2 linked regions of the Coturnix japonica genome follow. Each later gene encodes a partner of the first gene's protein in a complex. Links are inferred from orthologs where the notes say so. Each region holds a gene or a part of one and is shown on either strand. Other genes may lie near its edges.

Evidence for each region. The genes of interacting proteins can lie anywhere in the genome.
Region 2: the proteins of GPSM2 (region 1) and INSC are in contact, whole or in part, in a crystal structure (PDB 3RO3), measured with the Mus musculus proteins. The link is inferred for Coturnix japonica from reciprocal best matches to the Homo sapiens genes GPSM2 and INSC. Residues at the interface, in NP_083798.2 of Mus musculus: Asn210, Tyr213, Leu214, Phe218, Arg242, Ser246, Asn247, Asn250, Ile253, Phe254, Tyr265, Gln283, Tyr286, Ser287, Asn290, Thr291, Thr293, Leu294, Arg323, Trp326, Ser327, Asn330; in XP_006507722.1 of Mus musculus: Val72, Asp73, Ser74, Val75, Arg77, Trp78, Met79, Asp81, Leu82, Lys83, Leu84, Met85, Thr86, Glu87.

The regions. Positions count from the first base shown.
Region 1 is NC_029523.1:1,217,441-1,228,010, forward strand, and holds the start of GPSM2 (G-protein-signaling modulator 2), read left to right. Parts: upstream 1-4,166; 5' UTR 4,167-4,178; coding exon 4,179-4,411; intron 4,412-4,627; exon of another isoform or gene 4,628-8,851; intron 8,852-10,570. Other genes in the region: protein AKNAD1, read right to left, coding at 127-262, 597-730, 1,196-1,255, 1,366-1,517, 1,617-1,734, 2,798-3,712, 3,887-3,928. UniProt on the Homo sapiens protein: Plays an important role in mitotic spindle pole organization via its interaction with NUMA1. Required for cortical dynein-dynactin complex recruitment during metaphase. Plays a role in metaphase spindle orientation.
Region 2 is NC_029520.1:14,709,116-14,717,767, forward strand, and holds the start of INSC (protein inscuteable homolog), read left to right. Parts: upstream 1-2,792; 5' UTR 2,793-5,940; exon of another isoform or gene 5,941-7,143; intron 7,144-7,170; exon of another isoform or gene 7,171-7,400; 5' UTR 7,401-7,523; intron 7,524-8,108; 5' UTR 8,109-8,179; intron 8,180-8,652. UniProt on the Homo sapiens protein: May function as an adapter linking the Par3 complex to the GPSM1/GPSM2 complex. Involved in spindle orientation during mitosis. May regulate cell proliferation and differentiation in the developing nervous system.

The DNA.
Region 1 (10,570 bases):
CCAAAGTAACATGCTATCCAAAAGCATCATGCTTTTACAAATGTTAGAGGAGAACATGCATTAACCACACTGATTTTCTGCAGTAGAATGGAGTAATGCAGTCTTTAAATGATTAAACTCAGTTACCTCCCAAAGACGATAGGATGAATGGGCAGATCCACAGGAAGTAAGCGAAGGAGCCCATCTGTGCTTGCTGCCGTCAGCTTGTTCTTGGATGTCTTCAAGCAGCGTGCCAAGTCTAAATATTTCCCCTTCTACTTTTCTAAAATCAATCACAATACACAGCTAATTAAACTTCTGTTTCTTACTATGGCAACCATATTTGGCATTGCAATGAACAGTTAATAGAGGGAAGAAGGAAATGGAGTTCACTGAGTCTCTTTTAAATGCTTGAATTAATCAAATAGATATCCTTGTTATAACAAGGATATGTAAAGCATGAGATGGATTTCGGCCAAGTACCTTCTAGCTTACCCTGTGTAATGTTAAGATAATGATTTCACCTCTGAAAAGCACAAATGGCTGAAGTAATAGTGGTTAGATGCTTTAAAACATGGAAAATATGCTGATGAAGTACTTTGTGCTTATCTTCAAACCTTTCAGGATCAAATTCTCCAATGCCGGTAGACTTGTCCTTGTAGCACTGCAGCTGTAAGTTACGATGCTCCTCTCTAGCAGTTAAATAATTCCTTTCCAAGGCATCAAGGTGTGTTTTCAATTGATTTAGAACCTTCAACAATAAGTTCAACAGTAAATGATGTTACTGTTAGTAAGACATACTAATATCTACTTTTGCTATGTGAGACAGATGTATCGGCAGTGATATTAGTAAGAATTTTGCTGCAGCTCTCAATTTTATCTATAGCTATCCAGCATGCTGTGATGCTTGGTTATTTAGAAGTAAAATACTCAATCACGCTTCAGATGTACCACCCTACTATCATAGATAGTGATTTCTATGCCAACTTAAGGCCTTTCACTAAGTACTTCCCAACTGTAATCTTTAAATTTAAGAAATGAGCCTCTTACTGAGCTCCTCCATTTTTGCTTCTTAAACTCAGTTTAAATCTGAGACTCAGATCAAGATTATTTTTAAAGGTCTGTCTGAGAAAAGCACTGAGTACCCTGCCAGGAAAACTGAAGTCTGTTAGCCAGCTGAAGTACACTTCTGATAACTGAACAGGTGGTAATTTACCAGATAATCTTCTTGTAAGAGAGATGTCTCTCTGGTCATGTGTTTAGAGAAGTCTTCCACCTGTAAGAGAAAACACCAGACTTATATATTGTTTGTTAAAAACAAACGCGCCATACTACTGTAAAACTTAAGAATCAATGTGAAATAGATACTGAAACAGAGCTCTTTACTTTCGTTTTTAGTTGATCTGTCTGATCCTTTAGTATTTGAGACATCTTCTCTCCTTGTGTTGTTTCGGGCAGTAAATTAGAAGCATTTAAACAGCGTATTTCTACTGTGCGAGTTGCTGGAAGTGCTGATGTTGTTGTCCCACACGGCAGTCCTACAAAATGCAAGAGAAAATGTGTTAGTTAGACTGCTTGCCAAAACCTTCCACCCAAAAGTGCTATTGGTTTACTTGAAATTAGTTTTTCACGCTTACTTGGTTCAGACAAACCATGTGCAGGCTGTAGAAGGACACAGGTGTTTGCTGTAGAGTCCTCAGGGGCTCCTGAGTAAATGGCAAATCCTGCATTTGGAAAACCCGACTGAGGAAGTATCTGTCAAAGTGAGAATCTTGGTTAGAGAAAAATCACACAGAATGCTCTGGACAATACCAAGTTTAGAAATGTGTAGGACAGCTTTCTGAAGTTAATGGGAAGTTTGTTATAACCGCACCATACAATTTGCTTTGATTTTGGTTTGCGTAGTATCTCATTGTGCATGTACTGAAATATGCAACTCAGGGTTCTGAAAATCTGAATTTAAAAACTTGTGTAAATGGGAAGTATATTATAAAGGTGAGAAAATAGTTCAGAGCCTTGGAAATAAGAAAATGAAATGAGAGTCTTCTTGGGAGGACTTCTGTATCTGATGACTGTATCTCAGGAGATCAGTAGGATTCTTGATGGCAGCGTGCTGCATTCACATCTAAATATACCATCAAGAAGTAATAGGGAAAAGTATTAGAAGTTGTTCCATCCTGAACAGGTTATGAAGGGATAAGCCCAGGAAAGGACTTAAGCATCTGTATAGCTCTGTGAGTGAACTCAGTGGCAGGGCATGGCATTAAGAAGTGCTTATCTAATTACCACAAATCTTAACAGGAAGTTACTACTGTAAGAGAAATCTTAAAATTTGATGTAAGACAAATCTCCTTATGGAGCAAAACCTTCAGAAATAAAGTGACCTGTCAGGGGATGCTGGGCTGAACAGCTGGAGAGTGTTTGTATTCTTCAATGTAAGAACAGGCAGGGGATTAAAAATGTTTCAAGAATAAATTCCCATTTACACTACTTCCAGTGAATGACAACGTTTCTGTATAACAGTGGAAATAACTGCTTAGAGTGAACTTCCTAATGATTTGCCAGGATGATTTGCCATCAGAAACAGCACAGCAGAGCACTGTTAATTGGTAATGAAAGCTCCATGGGGATTCTGCCTCACAGAAGTTTGTCCACGTGCCTATTGATAGTGGTACGCTTGCCCTGCTGATGGCTGTTGAGTGCCTGCATGAACCAGGCACAGTGAGAGGTGACCTAACACAGAATACCTTTTTATTATAAGCACTGCTCTTTACTTTTGTGTTAAGACTTCGCTAAATTCTTAAAGCATCTTAATTACCTTTCGCTGCTGGGATGGTTCTGGAATGCTCATTTCTTCCTGATTTTCTAGGACGTTGTTGCCAGTTACTGATTGATTTAGCAGTCTGGGGAAGGGTTTTGTTCTTTTAATGGTGGGAACTGATTTCTTATTCTCACTCATTTCTGGTACTTTCATTTCTGAAGTGACTTCATTATGGCCTTCCTGACGACTCTGAACTTCACCTTGGTCTTCTATGAGCTCATGAGAAGAAACTGATTTCTTAAGCATGCGTCTCTGTTCTGTGTTTTGAAAGATATTCACTGCTTTGAGCCTTTGTAAGTGGTGTTCTTCAAACTTGGCTGCCTCTTGTTCACCCGTTGAAGGGCCTTTGACACGTTCAGAAGTCTCATGTTTGTTTGTGGCTTCGTCAATACTTTCAGTCAGGGATGTTTCTGGTATAGTCTCACGTTCAATAAACTGCCATGTGCTCATCAACTCTCCCATAGGAAAATGACGCAGAAGGACATGGGACATGTTTGAGTGACTCGGAGGGTCTGTGCCATCTGGTTGGCTACCACCAGCTGGTAATGCCTGTGTGAAGGACACTTCACTTCCAGCTATTCCAGCTTTACTTCTGACTGTCCTGATGGTACCTGTGTTACAGTCAAAGGCACCTTCATCTTGTACATGAATGTCATCATTTGCTGATGCGTTTCTGTTATCTCCAGAGCAGGGTAAGTTTAAAGAATCAGAAATACACACGATACAAGTGCAGCCATTCAATTGATCTGACTTGCTGTGATATTTGCAGGCTATTCCCCCATCTCCATCACAAGGTAAATCATCTTGTTCTGCGTCCGTTGTGTCTGTGATGTAGCTTAATTCATTTGAAACTGAACAGCTCATTGGGGCTTCCACCCATGGGCTGGGTGCACTGAGATGGTGTCTGTGCTGCTATGGAGACCAAGAGGGACAGGTGCCAAAAGTGCTGTGAAAGGAGAATGGAGTGCAGTGCAGGTAAGCGTGGGTTATTCTTTCATAGTCCTCCTGCTGATAGGAGACCAGGGTGCTAATGGAAGGTAACGAAACTTGCGCTATAGCAGCTCTGCGAGAAGAAAACGCACTCACCGCCCCGGCCCGCTGCTCCCCGTTATTCGGCTTATTCCTCATCCCCCAGCAGCTCACGCTCGGTGCATTCTGGCAGCAGAGCGCTGCGCTGTGCCGGGAGCTGCGGCAGAGCTGGATCCCTTCGTACCAGCGGGCAGCGGCAGCAGACAGATAGAACCTCACAGCTCCCTGCTCCCGAGCTGCGTCTGCTGCTCCCACCCGCGCCGTGCGGTGCCACCTGCCGCTCCGGCTGCGGGGCTCAGCCTGTGCCCGCCCCGTCCTGCCGTGCCGTGACTCCCATTGGCCGCTGTGAATGATGCCGCCTTCCGCCGCCGCCGGCCGCAGCGCCTGCGTGCAAGGCCCGGAGCCGTTGTCCGCCCCGCCTCGGGGCCGCGCGGGGATTGGCGGGTTCGAAGCGCGGCTGCGCCTGGGCGGCACCGCCAGGAACTGCTCGGCGGTCGCTCTGGAAACTGCCGGCGGCACCGGGCCCGGAACGGCGGCACCAGGTGAGGAGCTCCGGGACCAGGTGAGGAGCTCCGGGACCAGGTGAGGTGCCCAACAGCCGGCGGAGCTGGGAGCCGCGTCCCGGAGCACAAACGGCGCGGTCTCCGTCACGCCGCGCTTGCAGGTGTCTGCGCTGAGCACGCTGAGATGCGGAGCGCGGCGTGCAGCCGGTGTGCGCTGCGCTGCTCCGGATCTGGGCTGCAGGTCGCGGTGTGCCGCAGTCCCGGTGCCGCGATGCTGCTCCCTGCCGGCCGGGCGCTGCGGTTCCTGCCGGCTTGGCGCGGGGCTGACGGGCCGGGCAGGGCCGGGCTGCGCCTCCCGTGTAAATGCCGGCTTTGTTGGAGCTGGAAACACGAGCAGAGTTGTCATCCTTGTAACGCGGTCTTTGTGAAGCCTTTGTACATACGTTGCCGTGATTTCGAAGCGCTCTGTTGGCTCGTGGCAGCGTTCTGCTGCGCTGCTTCCATCCGTGGTTCCATAGACACAGGCGGTTCTACAGCCCTCAGGACAAATGGACTTTATGCCTTCAGTTACTTCCCTGCAAAGCTTACACGAAACCTGTCTGAAACTTGAGCCATCACCATTGGGCCAGAAGACGCTTGTGCCGGCCTTGCCGTAATGCTCTTGTTTGAGAGCTGCTTGCTGTTGGCTGTTGCTATTGTCCTGTTTTCTCTTGCTGGAGAAATACAGCACAACTTCATGCTTGGAAGGTCAAAGTATTGTTTTACAGATGCTGATGGAGATCTCAGCACTTTCTTTACATCCCGTCTCTGTCACTTGGCTTACACTGCTGTTTCCTTCTGTCCTTTTCTTTCTTTCTTTCTTTCGCTTTCTGAATTATTTAAAGGCCGTGGCACATCGGATCGTGCACAACAGCAGCACTGCACTAACACAGCAGGTGTTTCTTCTGGGGCATTGTAAAGGAGATCAATGCGATTTGAAACTGAGCTCTGTCTCTTTGTCAGGGTGGAAATCTCTCCCTAGTTTGCTAGGGCTAGTTTTGCTGTCTGTTTTCCTCACTTCTTGCCACCAAATGGCAGCAGAACTGATCTTAGAGCCTGGTCAGAGATGAACCTGGTACGGCTGTTACCAGTCCATGGAAGGAGAGAGCAGAAAGGCATCAGATGAAGGAAGGAACTGTTTGCTTTCATGTAGGCACTCAGTGGGAAGTCAGCCATGCAAATGATTGCATCAAAAATAGAAGGCTGTGTTGTTAGAGATCACAGCGTCAGGAGTGTGAAGTGTCGGAAGAGCAGAAGTAGGAAACCTGGTGAGAGCTGGTCTGAGATGGTGTGACGTTGAGCAGATGGTTAATGGCAAGTTGCCTCTTAGTGCTTCACAAGTGTTCCTGTTCAGATAAGGGAACTTGTGTAAACCCTTATTAATAAGAAGGGGAAGCTTTTGTGCCGCTGAGTTATGGAGGAAAAACATGATGTGATGTACAACGGGGCCTCTCCAAATCTTTTAATTTCTTAGCTCATTTTCTACCATTGTCCTGCTGTTACGCTGCTCACAATTCTGTTCCAGCCTGGCTGTGGCTGGGCAGTGTGCAGGATTGATGCATTGATGTGTTACAGTGGTTGGGTACAGCTGTGGCAGAAGAGTCAGGTCTTAGTAACACATCTCAGGTTTTGCTGTTCTTCAAGGCGCAGAGAAGATGCTACTCCAGCATTTTGCATCAAAAATCTCATTGCATGTAGAATTAGTTCCTTGTTGCCTGACTAGTTTTATTATAAGGATATTAGTTACGTTATACTGCTGGCACTTTGTCTTCCTTTCGCATGTTGCCATGGTGGGGGCTTGCCTTACTGCAGGGTTTAGATGGCTGCTGTACATGACCTACTTGTGGTGTCCTTAGAGTTACAGTGTCCTTGTATGTCCTTGTATGTCCTTGTGTTGGCTCCTTGCACGCTGGTCAGGTATTTAGGTGTTTCCAGAGAAATATTCTTTCATGATGGGATATTCTGTTCTGAGAGATGTTCTGTGAGAGGTGCTGAGAGCAGTGCCACCTCTGCATTGCTGGGCTTTGCTGTTTCTTATGCCAAGGTATCAGTGCAGTATGTGCAGTACACATGCATTGGCTGCTGCTCTGTGTTCCCATATCTGCTGTTATATGTGCTATATGTGCTACATGTGCTGATGGTTCTGTTTGTTTTTGCCAGCAGCGTGTTCTCAGCCTGTAAGTTACTGTCCAGCCTGCATCATTACAAGATGCCTGAACCATTTCGCTTTACAAACCTGTATTACTGCAGTGCCTAATAGGGCACTTCCTTACTTACTGTGGTTAATAGTTGGTGTGGAACCATGATGGTACTCTGACCAACACACCAGCAATGACTAGATGGTGGTTTCTCTCCCTCATGTATTGCATTGTTGTTCAAAGTGCCTGGCATTTCTTTCTGCTCTTAATGAGTGACCTGTTAAAAGGAATGCATATGTATTTCAGTCTGATTGTTGTGTTAGGCCAAAAAGGGCTGTAAGTGTAGGGAGAGTAAAGAGGGTTTGTCGTACATGAGAGGGCCTGGAAGAGCTAATCTTCCTCTACCTTGGCTTGGAACGCACCATGTGGCGAGGTCAGTTGTGTTTAGGTAACCAAAGAATGTGTAAAAATGAGATCAAGCCTGTTTAGAAATAGGGCAGTAAATTAAGCGTCTCCACTGTGACCATGTTTGTCATAATGCAGCAGTGTGCTGGCAGTTAGATAATCCACGTTGGACTCTGCTCTGGAGCTGTGTCCATGCTTTCATTTTCAGCTGGGGTCGCAGTGTGATCCTCGCTTTGCTGTGAACAAGCTTTGTCTCAGACGTGCTTGATGCCTCTTGGTTTTTGGTTGGTTTTTAGTGTCTTGAGAGTTAGGAGGACCTTCTTGCTAGGATCTTTTTTAAGCTTATTAAAAAATAAAATTGTGCACTAGTATAATTAATTATTCTTTAGTCTCGTAAAGCAATTGTAGATTTTTATGCAGAATTTGTTATTAATTTTTCCTTCTGTTATTTAATGTTTTCAGTAAAGCAGATTTCCAGTCCTGATTCAGGCTGTCCTGGGCGTCCTGCCTCTCAGTTATCTCTGGGGCTTCCTCCCTCAGCCATGCTGAGTTAAGGACGTGCACAAAAACCCTTTTTATCCTTTTCAGTAAATGTAGCACTAGGAACAGGCTGGGGGCAGGAGTGAAGAGTTGGGTCAGTTGGATCATTCAACACGAAGGTACTTGTGAGTGTCACAGCTCCTGCTGTTTTTTGTTTACTGTTTGACAAACTGCTTTTGTTACCTGTGTGGAAGTACTGCTGGTGATGCTGAAGCAATTAAGTCTTGGGCATTAATTGGCTAACGAGAGAGATGAAATAATTTTATAGATCGAGGAGTCAAGGTTCCAAGTTTCCCTGTTGTAATCCTGTTCTTTTGGCTCATACAAGGTGGTTACCCGTGGGTCAGTCAGTTCTAGCAATGAAACACTTCGCTAGCATTCTTTTGATTCTTCTGACGAGGAGCAGATGATTTCCTATGCAAAAAATAGCTTTGGGAACAGGAGAGGAAGCTTTGTGTGCTGCTTTCTGTTGGCATGCTGTAAGTGAGATCCTGGTGTTGTGCAGAGTGCGTTGGTAGGGTTCCTGTTTTGTTGAATGGGTGTCACGTGTGGCCCAAAGCTGATATAGTGCCCCGTTTCCACCTGCTTTGGGACTTTCTGCAGTAATCAGTGATGTGGCTTAGTTTCATGTGGTCTGATATTTGTCAGTCAACATGGCAGATAGATCTGGGGTGGAGGAGGAAGCATCTTGATCAAGCACATTAGATGCTGGTATTAATGTATTTACTTACTGCTTGTCTGGTAGTCTGATAGCATAGGCTGGGTCTTCCCCATGCACTATGTAATGACAAGCTGTGCAGAGTCTGCTCTACCAGGCATGCTCCTAGTTACAAAGCCCCATGGTCCCGCTCTGCCCTCTGGGTGCAGCCCACCTGTGTCTGACGGGCTGTGCTCAGTGATACACTGGAACGCTGCTTGTGTCGGGTCCTTGGTCCTTCATCTGGAGCCTTGTGGTTCATTCCGAGGGTATCTGCTCTGTGTGTAAAGCCATCTGGAGGAAAGGTGATATCTCAGAGCTGGAATTGCTCCATATTTGCTGTTGACCGTGAATAAAACCTCAGAGTCACTTTGTCAGTACGGGGGGTTCTGTGTGGTGCCAGCTGATCAGCTGTTGAACTTGTGTTGTGCCAAAGTCTGGAGAAAACAGCTGCTTCCCAGCATGTCACACTGCTGTGTTAAGGACTGTTCAGAGGGGAATGGTTATTACTACACAAATGCTATTGGCTGTGCTTCCTCGTTAATAGGTGAATTTAAGAAATATCCCTGGACACCATTAAAGACTAAAATTGTGGTTTGTCTGGTTCCAGTTGTGGTTCAGTACCTCTGGACTCACTGCTGGCATTTATATTTGGATTTACACTTTCGAGGTCTGGAGTCAAACTAACCTCTGTATTTCAGTAAGAGAAACATTGCTGTATTTTTTTGTTCCTTGCTCTGTCTTTGTCTTCACATGGTACACAAAGCTCTGCTTTGTTTTCAGGTTATCCACTGCAAGATTCTTTTCCTGTTCTTTCACTTACGCTGTAGCTGCTCCCTGAAAGGAAATTCAGACTTAGTTCAGCATTGGAAAATTCTCCGTGATCTTGAAACAGCCACTCTCTATAGCTGATTTTTGTGAGGAAATAGAATGCATGTGGTTGGTCTGCCTCGATTTGTACTTTCACCATGTCAATTCTGAATCTCCCAGCCTTTGATGACATCATTTGGCAGATGCTTCTGTAGCTCTGTGAAAAATAACAGATGGGCAGAGGAGGCCTTGGTTTGTTGCCTCCTTTAGGCAAGGCAGGACAAGCTGGGCTGGGTGCGTTCCGGTAGCCAGCCCACAGTGACTGGTCGGAATGTGGCTGCCAGGCAGCCCTGTGGCTGCTGATGAGCACAGTAATGAGTGTAGATCATCAGTCATCGGACAGCAAAAAAGGAAATATGGTCATGGGAGATGATGAGAGGAGGGAAGGAGCCAAAGATGCTGCTGGGATCTTCTGATTTAAGGAGGTAGTGTCTGCAAGAGTGTTCATGGTTGTCTACCTCCTTAATTTGTAATTAATCACTGATTAATGTGCCTCTAGTTGGATGTGGGCCAGCTCGATGTGTCCACGTCAGCCACCTAAGGCAGCCATGTGCCATGCAGTCGGCAGGAGGGAGGCACAGGGCTTCCAGCAGCAGGGAGGTGGCACCCACTGGAGATGGCATAGAGGATGGACATGGAGCCCAGTTAAATGAAATAGTTGAAATGTGATGCAAAGCATATTAGTAACTTCTGGTTCCCTTGTAGTGCTGAGCACCAGGACTGCTCTGAGGCGATGAGTGCAGGCAGGGCAACTTGCAGCTGGCTGCTTGCGGGAGTTGCCTGACTTGAGTTTGTGCAAACCTGTGCAGAGCAAAGACCTGTCACGTCATCTTCCCAGTGTGTGGGTTACAGTGGTATTTAAAAATGTATGTATCATGCTTTGTAATTGCTAAAGTATACCCACACCCACTTGTTGATGCCAAGTAACTCCGGTGCTGAGCATGGAAGGGCAAAGTAGTTGTTTGACTGGAAGAACACTGTGAATGGTCTGTTTGAAAGACGCTGTCAGAGAGGAGGGTGGTGAGAAGCATGAATATTTGTACTGGTGACTGATGAAACAGATGAGGAGACATTGCCTTCCTTGACAATTAACAATATAGAGATGGGTGAGTTCTGGTGACAACTTTAAGTCTGAGTTCTGTTCTTGTTTTGTGACATCTCTGCAAGCTCTTGATGAAATATGCATTTGTGAATTACACAAGTGTATGTTTACTTGCAAAGGAAGGTAATATTAGTGCTAAGCAATAAATACGTCAACTCCTCTACTAAAAATATATTTAAAAGTGGGTAAGCTTCTGAATAGTTTCTTTTTGGCAAATTGTTTTCCCTGCCAGCCTAAACAAGTCTAACTTGTGAGCACTGGCTGCTGCAGTGCCTTTGAAGTGGAGCTCATACGGCAGCACTGCGGCACTTTGGAATGTGTAACCATGTAAAAAAATAAAAAGGCAAAACAAAAATATCCCTTTCTTTTGGGGAGAGGAAGGGAAAGGGAGTAGAGCTTAAACCTCTGCTGGCTTCTGTGCTCCTGCTGTTCAGAAGGGTGGTTTCC
Region 2 (8,652 bases), on another chromosome or scaffold:
TCATTTTGCTGGTGATGTTTGATTATTAACATATGGGTAACTCTGAGTTTGTTTCTTTCAGGTTGATGTGAGACTGAAGACTCAACTTTAATTTCTAATGAATGGAACTCTTCTCCACAAATCAAGACAGACAAAAAGAAGATTAATTTTGCATCCTGATATTGAAAGCATTTTGTTTAAGAAAAAAAAATGAGAACTCTTCTATCATGTATAGTACGAGGGGCTCCAGTTATTCGAGTTAAATTATTGTATATTCTTTTTATATGCAACTCTATTTCAAATAAAATGTGACAGCATCTATTATTTATTTATCTTCTAGCATATATGTGATCCATGCTATTTATCCTGGCACTGCTGCCAAAACTCGGGGAGTTATACTGAACTGCTGCCTAGCAAGGTGTGTGTGTATAACATGGTGTGCTGTGCCTTGGTGTTAAAACACTTAACTAACCTGATTGTACAGTATGTTTAAAGCAGAAAACAACCTCTTAAATATTGTATCATTTGTGAATTTACGCAAAATTAAAAATAAGTATTTTTAGATACACTTGCATTGAGAAACTGATTTTTTTTTTCTTTTTCTTTTTCTGTTTGAACACATTTACAGAAATGTTTGGCAGTAGCCCAAAATCACTGCAAATCAGATGGCCTGGTGGGCTCCTACAGTCCTATTTGCTGTAGGTGTAGCCTTTGAGTCAAGTGGTCTGAACTGGATGAAGAGCAGCCTTAGAGAATGCATTTAGAAACTGGTAACTGGGGAGGGTGCTGCTTACTAACACTTGTGTTAAATTCTGTCTAATAAAACTGTAGTGGCAACATTTATCATGTGGAAGTCAAAATAGACAAAATGTTTTTCTATGGACTGCAGTTGGTCCAAAACAGCCTAAGGTATCTTGTAGGTGTAAGGTTAAAAAAGTAAATTGGAAAGGGAATTTTAAAAGGTACTCCGGAAATTTACATTTCTTTTAAGCAATCCTGAAGCTGAATCTACTTCGGGACCAGGGACAAATAATTAGAGTAAGTGGAGAAGAGGGTAGCTGGAAGCAATCCATGGCTCTTTAAGTGATGCTGCCAGCTCATTCCATGCAGCTGCTGCTTTTTCAGTTTAGTAGCTGAGTCAGATATTTGTTTAGATTTGTTTTTTGCTCTACAGTTGGACTCCAAGCTCTGCTTCATCAGTTCAGATGAAGATCATCTCACTGTAAAGTAGAGATTAAGCCCCTCACCGTATCTCTGTCTCTCTTTGCTGCAGGTGTAATAGAAAAAAGAGAAGCGAGGTCAACCAGATGTAGATATAGTCAGTAAGGCTGCCCAGTGGTGATGCTTCTGTAGCTCATTCATGGCCATGGTTTTACTACTTGAAGGACATTCCAGCTATGGTAAGTCAGTATACAAAGCAGACCTTGTAGGTATAACTTCTAGAAGATATAAGCCAGTTTAGAGGGAAAAGTTCTAGTGTTTAAGTGGGTAAGGAAAGGATGCAGATGGGATGGCTTCTCCTTAGCTTAGAAATGTTATGCTGAGACAGTTCGGTACTTTTTGTCTGTGTACTTCTGAAGTAGCTTAGATTTACCACATCTGTATTTACTGGAACTGCAAGATGAAGCCCTGTTCTGCAAGACCCCACTTGGGTCATGTGTGGAAGACCCAATTTTGCAGTCAGGAAGCATTTTTTCTCTGGATTTCGCATATTTTTGTCATTTTTTCTTTGCACAAAGCATGGATAATGTGCTGTGGTCACCTGATCGTCACAACAGTGCTTTCCATGTCATTGTAGAGCCTTGGAACACAGGTGGTAGCTGGTTTTTGTTCTTTACTATGGCACCCAGCTTAATCTGCTCCGAAATAAGATGCCAGGATGAATACATGTAAGCCAATGATACATATTCAGTAAGAAGCCAGGCACAGTTCCTTGTCTCCTTCTGGCCTTAAAACATTGATGCTCAAGCAGTTTATTGTTTCAGTTTACAGCTGAGACACATCTGAGGCTCCTTCACATGTAGTTTCCAACCCTATAAATTGCAGAGCCATCAGGAGTTTGTCGATTGCTTTGATTGACTTTCTGAAAATCCAGAAGAAATTGCTTCAATTTATTTTTTTTTTAATGCTGTTCTTGATAACATTACCTACAACTGTCAACTCTCAAAGATACCCCAAACAAAGAAAAGACCCACAGAACCAAACAGCAACAATATGCACCCTCCTAGTCCCTGAACCCAATTTAATCTGTGTGCAAGTAAAGTCTTTGTGATGGGGACTTTGCAAGGAAAGGTAAAGAAGGAAGAAATTTCTGAGAAATAACTGTCTGAGGGTAATTTCTTGAAGACTGTCTTCCCATCACTGTAGATTCTGGGGGGAGTTTATTTTGCAGAATTGATAGGGTTTTTTGTTTGTTTGTTTGTTTTAAGAGTACAAATACAGACAAGCATGATGTGAGCCTAAGGCAGGTCCTGATTTCCACCTGGTCTTCTCCCTGAGCTGATGGGAGGTAGAAAGGCACCATCTTGTGGCCAGTGAACAAGCACAGTGAGGAGCTGCAGGAGCCCTCTCCTCTGAAATACACACATGCTTCTGCTTTTGTCTTTGTGGTGAGTGCAGCTCCCAGTGGGACACAGGCCAGGTGAGCAGGGGTGGCCTTGGGCTGGTGCCATGAAGCAGCCTGCTTGCTCACCTCCCAGAGCCCTGTGGGAAAGGGGACAGCAGTAGGGTGTTGTAGGCTCCCAGGGTATCATGGGTCCCCAGGGCCACTGTGCAGGGCTGTGGCTCCACACAGGGTGTCGGGGAGGTGTGGGTGAGCTGCTACAGGGTCTGGATGAGAGGTATGTGAGGTCCAAATGATGACAGAAGCTCCAACATCAATATATCTCCTGATGGACCTTTTCAGCTGCCAAAATGGCTGCAGGAGCTATAGCTGTTCAGCCATGTGCTCTTTGCCAAGTGGCAGATGTCTTCCTGTTCCTAGATCCAGCTGAGATTTTGGTTCATGATCATGCACCAGGACATAGCTGCGCGCACTAATAGAGCATCATTTTGAAAGAACCCAAGTGAATTTACTGTGGCTCTTTCCATATATTTAGATCTATTTTTCCTCCTCTTAGTGGAATTCATCTTCCTGAAAGCTTTCATCATCTGCAGTGTGAGAAGGGAGAACAGCTAATGCTATTGCTTCCAACACCAAGCACTGCCAAAAGCAACTGTTAGTAAGCAGTAGTAAATTTTGGTATCTACTGTCTAAACCAGCACTACCATGTATAATTAGCAGATTGAACATCCTTCCAAGGTGGGTAGTTTAGCTATGCTAGAGAATTTGGGCCTTGCATTTGTCTGTATTGAACAGTGTCAGAGCTATCTCAGAACACCTGAGCACTTCAAGCATTTCAAGCTTGTTTTCACATATGTTGAGCACTGGCAATTGTGGTCCAAGTTGGTTTTGCTCGTTACTTGTGACAATTAATTGAACCCTTCCCATCTGCTGGGTGGGGTCTACATGGCACATAAATTTTCTTCCTCTTTACTGTTCTAATAGACACCACATCCTTCCTTTAGTCTGCACAGAACTGACCTTTACTTAGGATGTTCCTTTTCAAATTCTCTTTTGCAGAAAACGCCCACAGATCCTAGTACTTTTTTTTTTTTTTTTTTTCCAGCAAGTATTAATTTCAGTTTCTAAATTTTGCCAAACTTTGCAGTACATTTTCCAGGATCTTTCAATCCATCCTTAGAGTTATAAAATGGCTTGCAACAATTCTCCTTTCTTTTCTTGGCTTTTATCACAATTGTTGTTTTGCACCAATTACCTCTTTGGCTGGGGCCGAACTGTGATCCCAGCTAACTCATTAGTGTCACCTCCAGAAAGGCAAATGTTGTCTTTAAATATCTGAATGTGTACCTTTGGGCAAGCGTTTTTCCTCTGTATCTGAGAAAATACTCTTAGATCCCACACAGTGTTTTGTTACAAAGATGTTGGCTGCCCACCAAAGAAGATTACACTTGTAGTAGTCTGCCTTTTCTATTTACTTCTGTTGTGTCACAATTCTTCTTTTCAATGGCTTTTCCTAATAGTATCTTGTCACATTAGCATATGAAGCAATTTGGCATTGCATTCACCTATTCAGTCTTCTCCAAGGAGACTAAATGACAGGGGAGTGTGGCTGTCTGGAGGTGATGATCACTTATGGTGGAGTCATGGGCACAACATTCTTGAGTAGCTGCCAGCAAGGTTGTCTTGGGTGACTGCTCCCAGGATTACAATCTGAGTGCTTGAGAAGCCAGGATGTCTCCTCCTCCTCCTCCTTCCCTCCAAGGACCTCGACTGCCTCCACCTCAGTAGAGCCCACTGACCTCTATTCACTGCACAATTATCTGCCCTAAGTGTGGCTTTGCTGAGCTCATACATCATGATTTCAAGCAGCCTTTTTGTTATTGTTTGTTTTTTTTTTTTTCTTTTTAAAAACCCAGTCATTTGCTTAATTTTTGTTCGCTGTCTTTCAGGCCACTTCTGCTCCATAGAAGAATGTTCACCTTATGGCTATTTATACACTCTAGCATCTTCATAGCTTTGCAAACAATCTGGAACTCCAAATCAACAATATGGACAGCATTAATTTGCCCATTACTCTGCTGACATGCTTGAAAGGCTGTTATAGGTCTCCACTGTCATAGAGGGAGCCAATTATTCTAATTAGCATGTCCCTAAATAGTTACATAGATAGTTTGTAATTCCATTTTTAGCTCATGATATAACCATGTTTTTGGATTGAACGAACATCATAGTTATTAGTGGGTAGAACTGGCCTGCTTTTACAAATGAATCCCAAGCAAGCACATCACAGTGTTGGTGTAATGACTTTTCTCTGTAAATACTGGCATTTAATCTATGGAAAAGTCCCAGTGGCTTTTTAGCACTTTGTAAGTCCTCCAAGACACTTCTGAGTAAGTTTCTAAGCAAGGTTTGTACTCTTAGTTAACACAGATCATTTCCTCCAAAGCTGGAAAGTTCTTCCATATCATTTTATAGTTAAATATACTAAGTGTTAAATCAGTTATAAAAATAAGTATTGAATTATGTTCCTAATATAATGCAAGCAGAGAATCAAATGGAAAACAGAAACAGATCTCAATGCTGGAGTTGAAGAGATAAAATGAAAACCATCCACTTACGGAATTGACTTCTGAAAGATGATGGAATAGCACCTTAAAATAACAGCACTGAGACCTGTAGCATGGGTAACTAAAGCCCCTCACGCTGCACCCTATCTCTTGGAAACACAAGTAGCTGGAGGGGCCCACCCACAGAAAGAGCAGCCTAGGCAGCCACAAGGGTACCAAGACCTTTCTCATACCAGTATCCCTCCTCTTTTAAAGTTTTATTATCTGAGTGTTCCCTATGTTTGCCAAAAATATGTTTTACGTGTGCCACTGTAATGATACAGCAGGTGGGATCTGAAGTAGAGCCCCTCTAAACTGTGCAAAGAAAACTCCTTTCTCCTGGAGGCTGCAGGATCTCTATCTATGGACATCAGCCTTTTTTTTATGCACACATTCCCCCCTCCCATGTTTTAATCTCCTCTAATCAGAAATCCAGCCTCTCATTTTGTGCACTTGGTGCTTTTTGCTGCATACAATTTGATGATCTTATTTAACTTATTGTAATTAGGTCACATCATACATGTCTCACAGTTCACTTCTTCCTCCAGATAGGAATACCCATTTCCTATAATTTAAGTGACATTTCCCAACTGATAACAGTATTCACAGATGACCCCAAATTGATGAGAATATTCTCTGCATCTCTAAGGCCCACACACGCTGCCAGGGAAGCATAAAGCACCTGTAATGTCTATGAGAATTCACACTAACATTTTCATGTTTTTGCTTCAGCCTCGGGTAAAAAATATATCTGGCAAGAAGAGAGGGGAAGGCTTCCCACTTTCTGTTTTAGTAAGTTTTTATTAACTGTGTGGAAATTCTAACTATAAATATGCTCAAGAAAGGGAGAGGCTTGTAAATGCAACTTCCAGATGCTAGAGGGCGTAGGAGACACAGAAAGTCTCCGGAGTAGCAGTTAAAAGAGGTTCGGGTGAGATATTTGCAGCAACATTCGGTTCTTGAAAAGGATGCTTGCTAATGTTCATGCTGATTCTGCTGTCTTTCTGAAGAGAACAAGCCAGAAAGCAGAAGTAGCTTTCTAGATTTTTGTTAGTTTTGCAGATAGTCTAAAAAAACCCAACAATTATTTATAGGGCTATTGGTCTAAATGAAGATATTAATACATGCTCCCAATTTTTATTTTTACTTTTACCAGAGCAGTTTAGTAATGAGGGTATGTTCTGAAAGAGCTCCTATCATTAGCCATCAAAACAGAGAGCTACTACTGACATTTAATGAAAAAGGTGAAAGGTAAATTCCTGGGCATAGCGGTATTTTCAGTGAGGAGAAGAACTAAAGGCTTCAGACTTGTCTGTCTGGTTTAGTCAAAATATTCAGTAATGTTTCTTCATCTCTACACAGAATTTCTGTGCTAGTGAAAATCCTGCTGTGTTTGGTGTTGCAGTCTACAAACCTACTAGTATAATACCTGCGTGAGGGGGGTTCTGGTAGATGCTGTGCAGAACAGACCAAGATTTTTTCTGTTAGCATCTTGACAGAGTTCACAGGGCTTACCCTAAATGTGTCAGAGGACAGGGCCACCATAGTTGCTCCTTAGAAAACCTCTACAAATAGCAGAATGTTTTGTTATCAGTTCAAAGTAATGCAGCAAGAGACCTGAGCTTCCCAAACCTGTAAAGGAGAGAAGATGTACATATTGATAAGTTTATGTTGGGTTTCTCTAGTCAGTTGATGCCCCTCAAACCAAATGTATTGTCAGTTCATAGGACTCCAATATTAAAGGGAAGGATTCCCTTCAGCCACTGTGGACTCCTTCTTTTTCTCCAGATTTTATGCTCGAGGCCAGGTATAGATGCTGAATGACAGAAAGATATTCTAGTAAACAAAACAGGACAGGTGGAGTAATGAAACTCTACTGAATTATTCATCGGGTCCTGAATGATGCAGAGAGAATTATTACAGTGAACAATCACCCCCGATGAGAGGAGCAGTGCAAGGAACAGCCCTGCAGTACAACTGACTTGTCTTCCCCAGGTAGGCGTCTGCAGAGTGAATACCTTGTATAAATGAACTGGAACAGCCATACTTGGTAGCTGTCCTTTGCTTGTCTAGAAATGATCAATATAATTCCAAAATCAGTTTAGCTTGTGCTACTGAGCCACAGACATCAAACTAAAAGCACATTCAAGTGCTTTGCTAAAAAGCAATTGAGTTCTTTGCATATTTATAGAGAAGCATACCTTCAGGATTGCTGGCTCAAACCTGATGATGCCTTCTAATAAATGTCACAGGTAAGGAAAGGAACAAAAAAATACATCCAAGAACCAGTGCATTCCAATGAGTAATTTTGACCTCTGAAGCATTTTCCCAGCTTGCCTTTGGAAGTTGAGAAATTGTACAACCTCATCACAATGGTAGGTATCTGGAGGTACAGTACTTCTACTGCTGTTAAGGTTTTTAATAATTATTAGTAGTGTACTAATGTACAGGGTAGGGAAGTTAAAGAAGGGTGCCCAGCACAGGCAGAGCAGCTGGGGTAGACAAGGTTATGATGGTAAGGTCAGCCATATCAATAAAACTAAACTCACCTTGGAAGCAGTGGGGAGAGAGCTGTGCTCTCATTTCATATTTGTTCTGGGCCTGGATGTGGTGGTGATGAGTGCTATAAGGTTAAAGATCAAAACAGAGGGAGAGAGCACAGGCTTTGAGAAATACACAATACAGTGAGGGAGAAGGAGTCATAAAACAATGTTCCTTGTGTGCCACTTGTACTGGGTATTCAATATGGCAGACAATAGAAGTGGGTAAGTTGGGGTAGCATTTGAATTGTGCAATAACAAGACAGGGGAAAACTTGAGTGTTCCAGCTTCCCTGCACATGACTTTGTATCTTAAGGGATGTTGTGGGTTTTTGTTATTTTTTTTCACATCGCATTAATATTAAATACAAGTATATAGTAACATCCAGATTAATTCAACCTGACTGGAATTCCATTTTAGATGCCTGGCTTCCTTCTGATGGTTGTTACTGCTGAGAGCTGTCATACTACATGAAATTCCCTGAGAACAAGGTACAGATGTCACTGCCATAAAATGCCCCAAAAAGTTAGATTTATTAACCTTTCGTGCTTTTAAAAATATTATTTACATTTTTTTCCCCATATTTTTAAATGGAAAGAAAACTTATTAGGAAGCCTTGTAACCCTATATGAAAATTTAATAAAATAATCTGATACTCTGGCATAAGAAGCTAAAAGGCTATTTGCTTTGCAACTGGATACTAAGCACATGGCCATCAGAGAAAGCGACTCTTTCCTTTAAAGCATTTTTCTTCCTGGTAATAATTTCCAGAAAGACTGATAGATGGTTAGTCCTAAAAATGCAGGGTTTAGTTTAGTACACTAGCATTAACTTCATGTGGTAGAAGACTGCTGTCTTTGCATTTTCTGCAGCAGATGTGCACACCACCTTTGATGTCTCCTTTTGATGAGACTATTGCTAGGCAGAGTCGTGGGAAATTTCTAGTGTTGTTTCCTTGGAATGT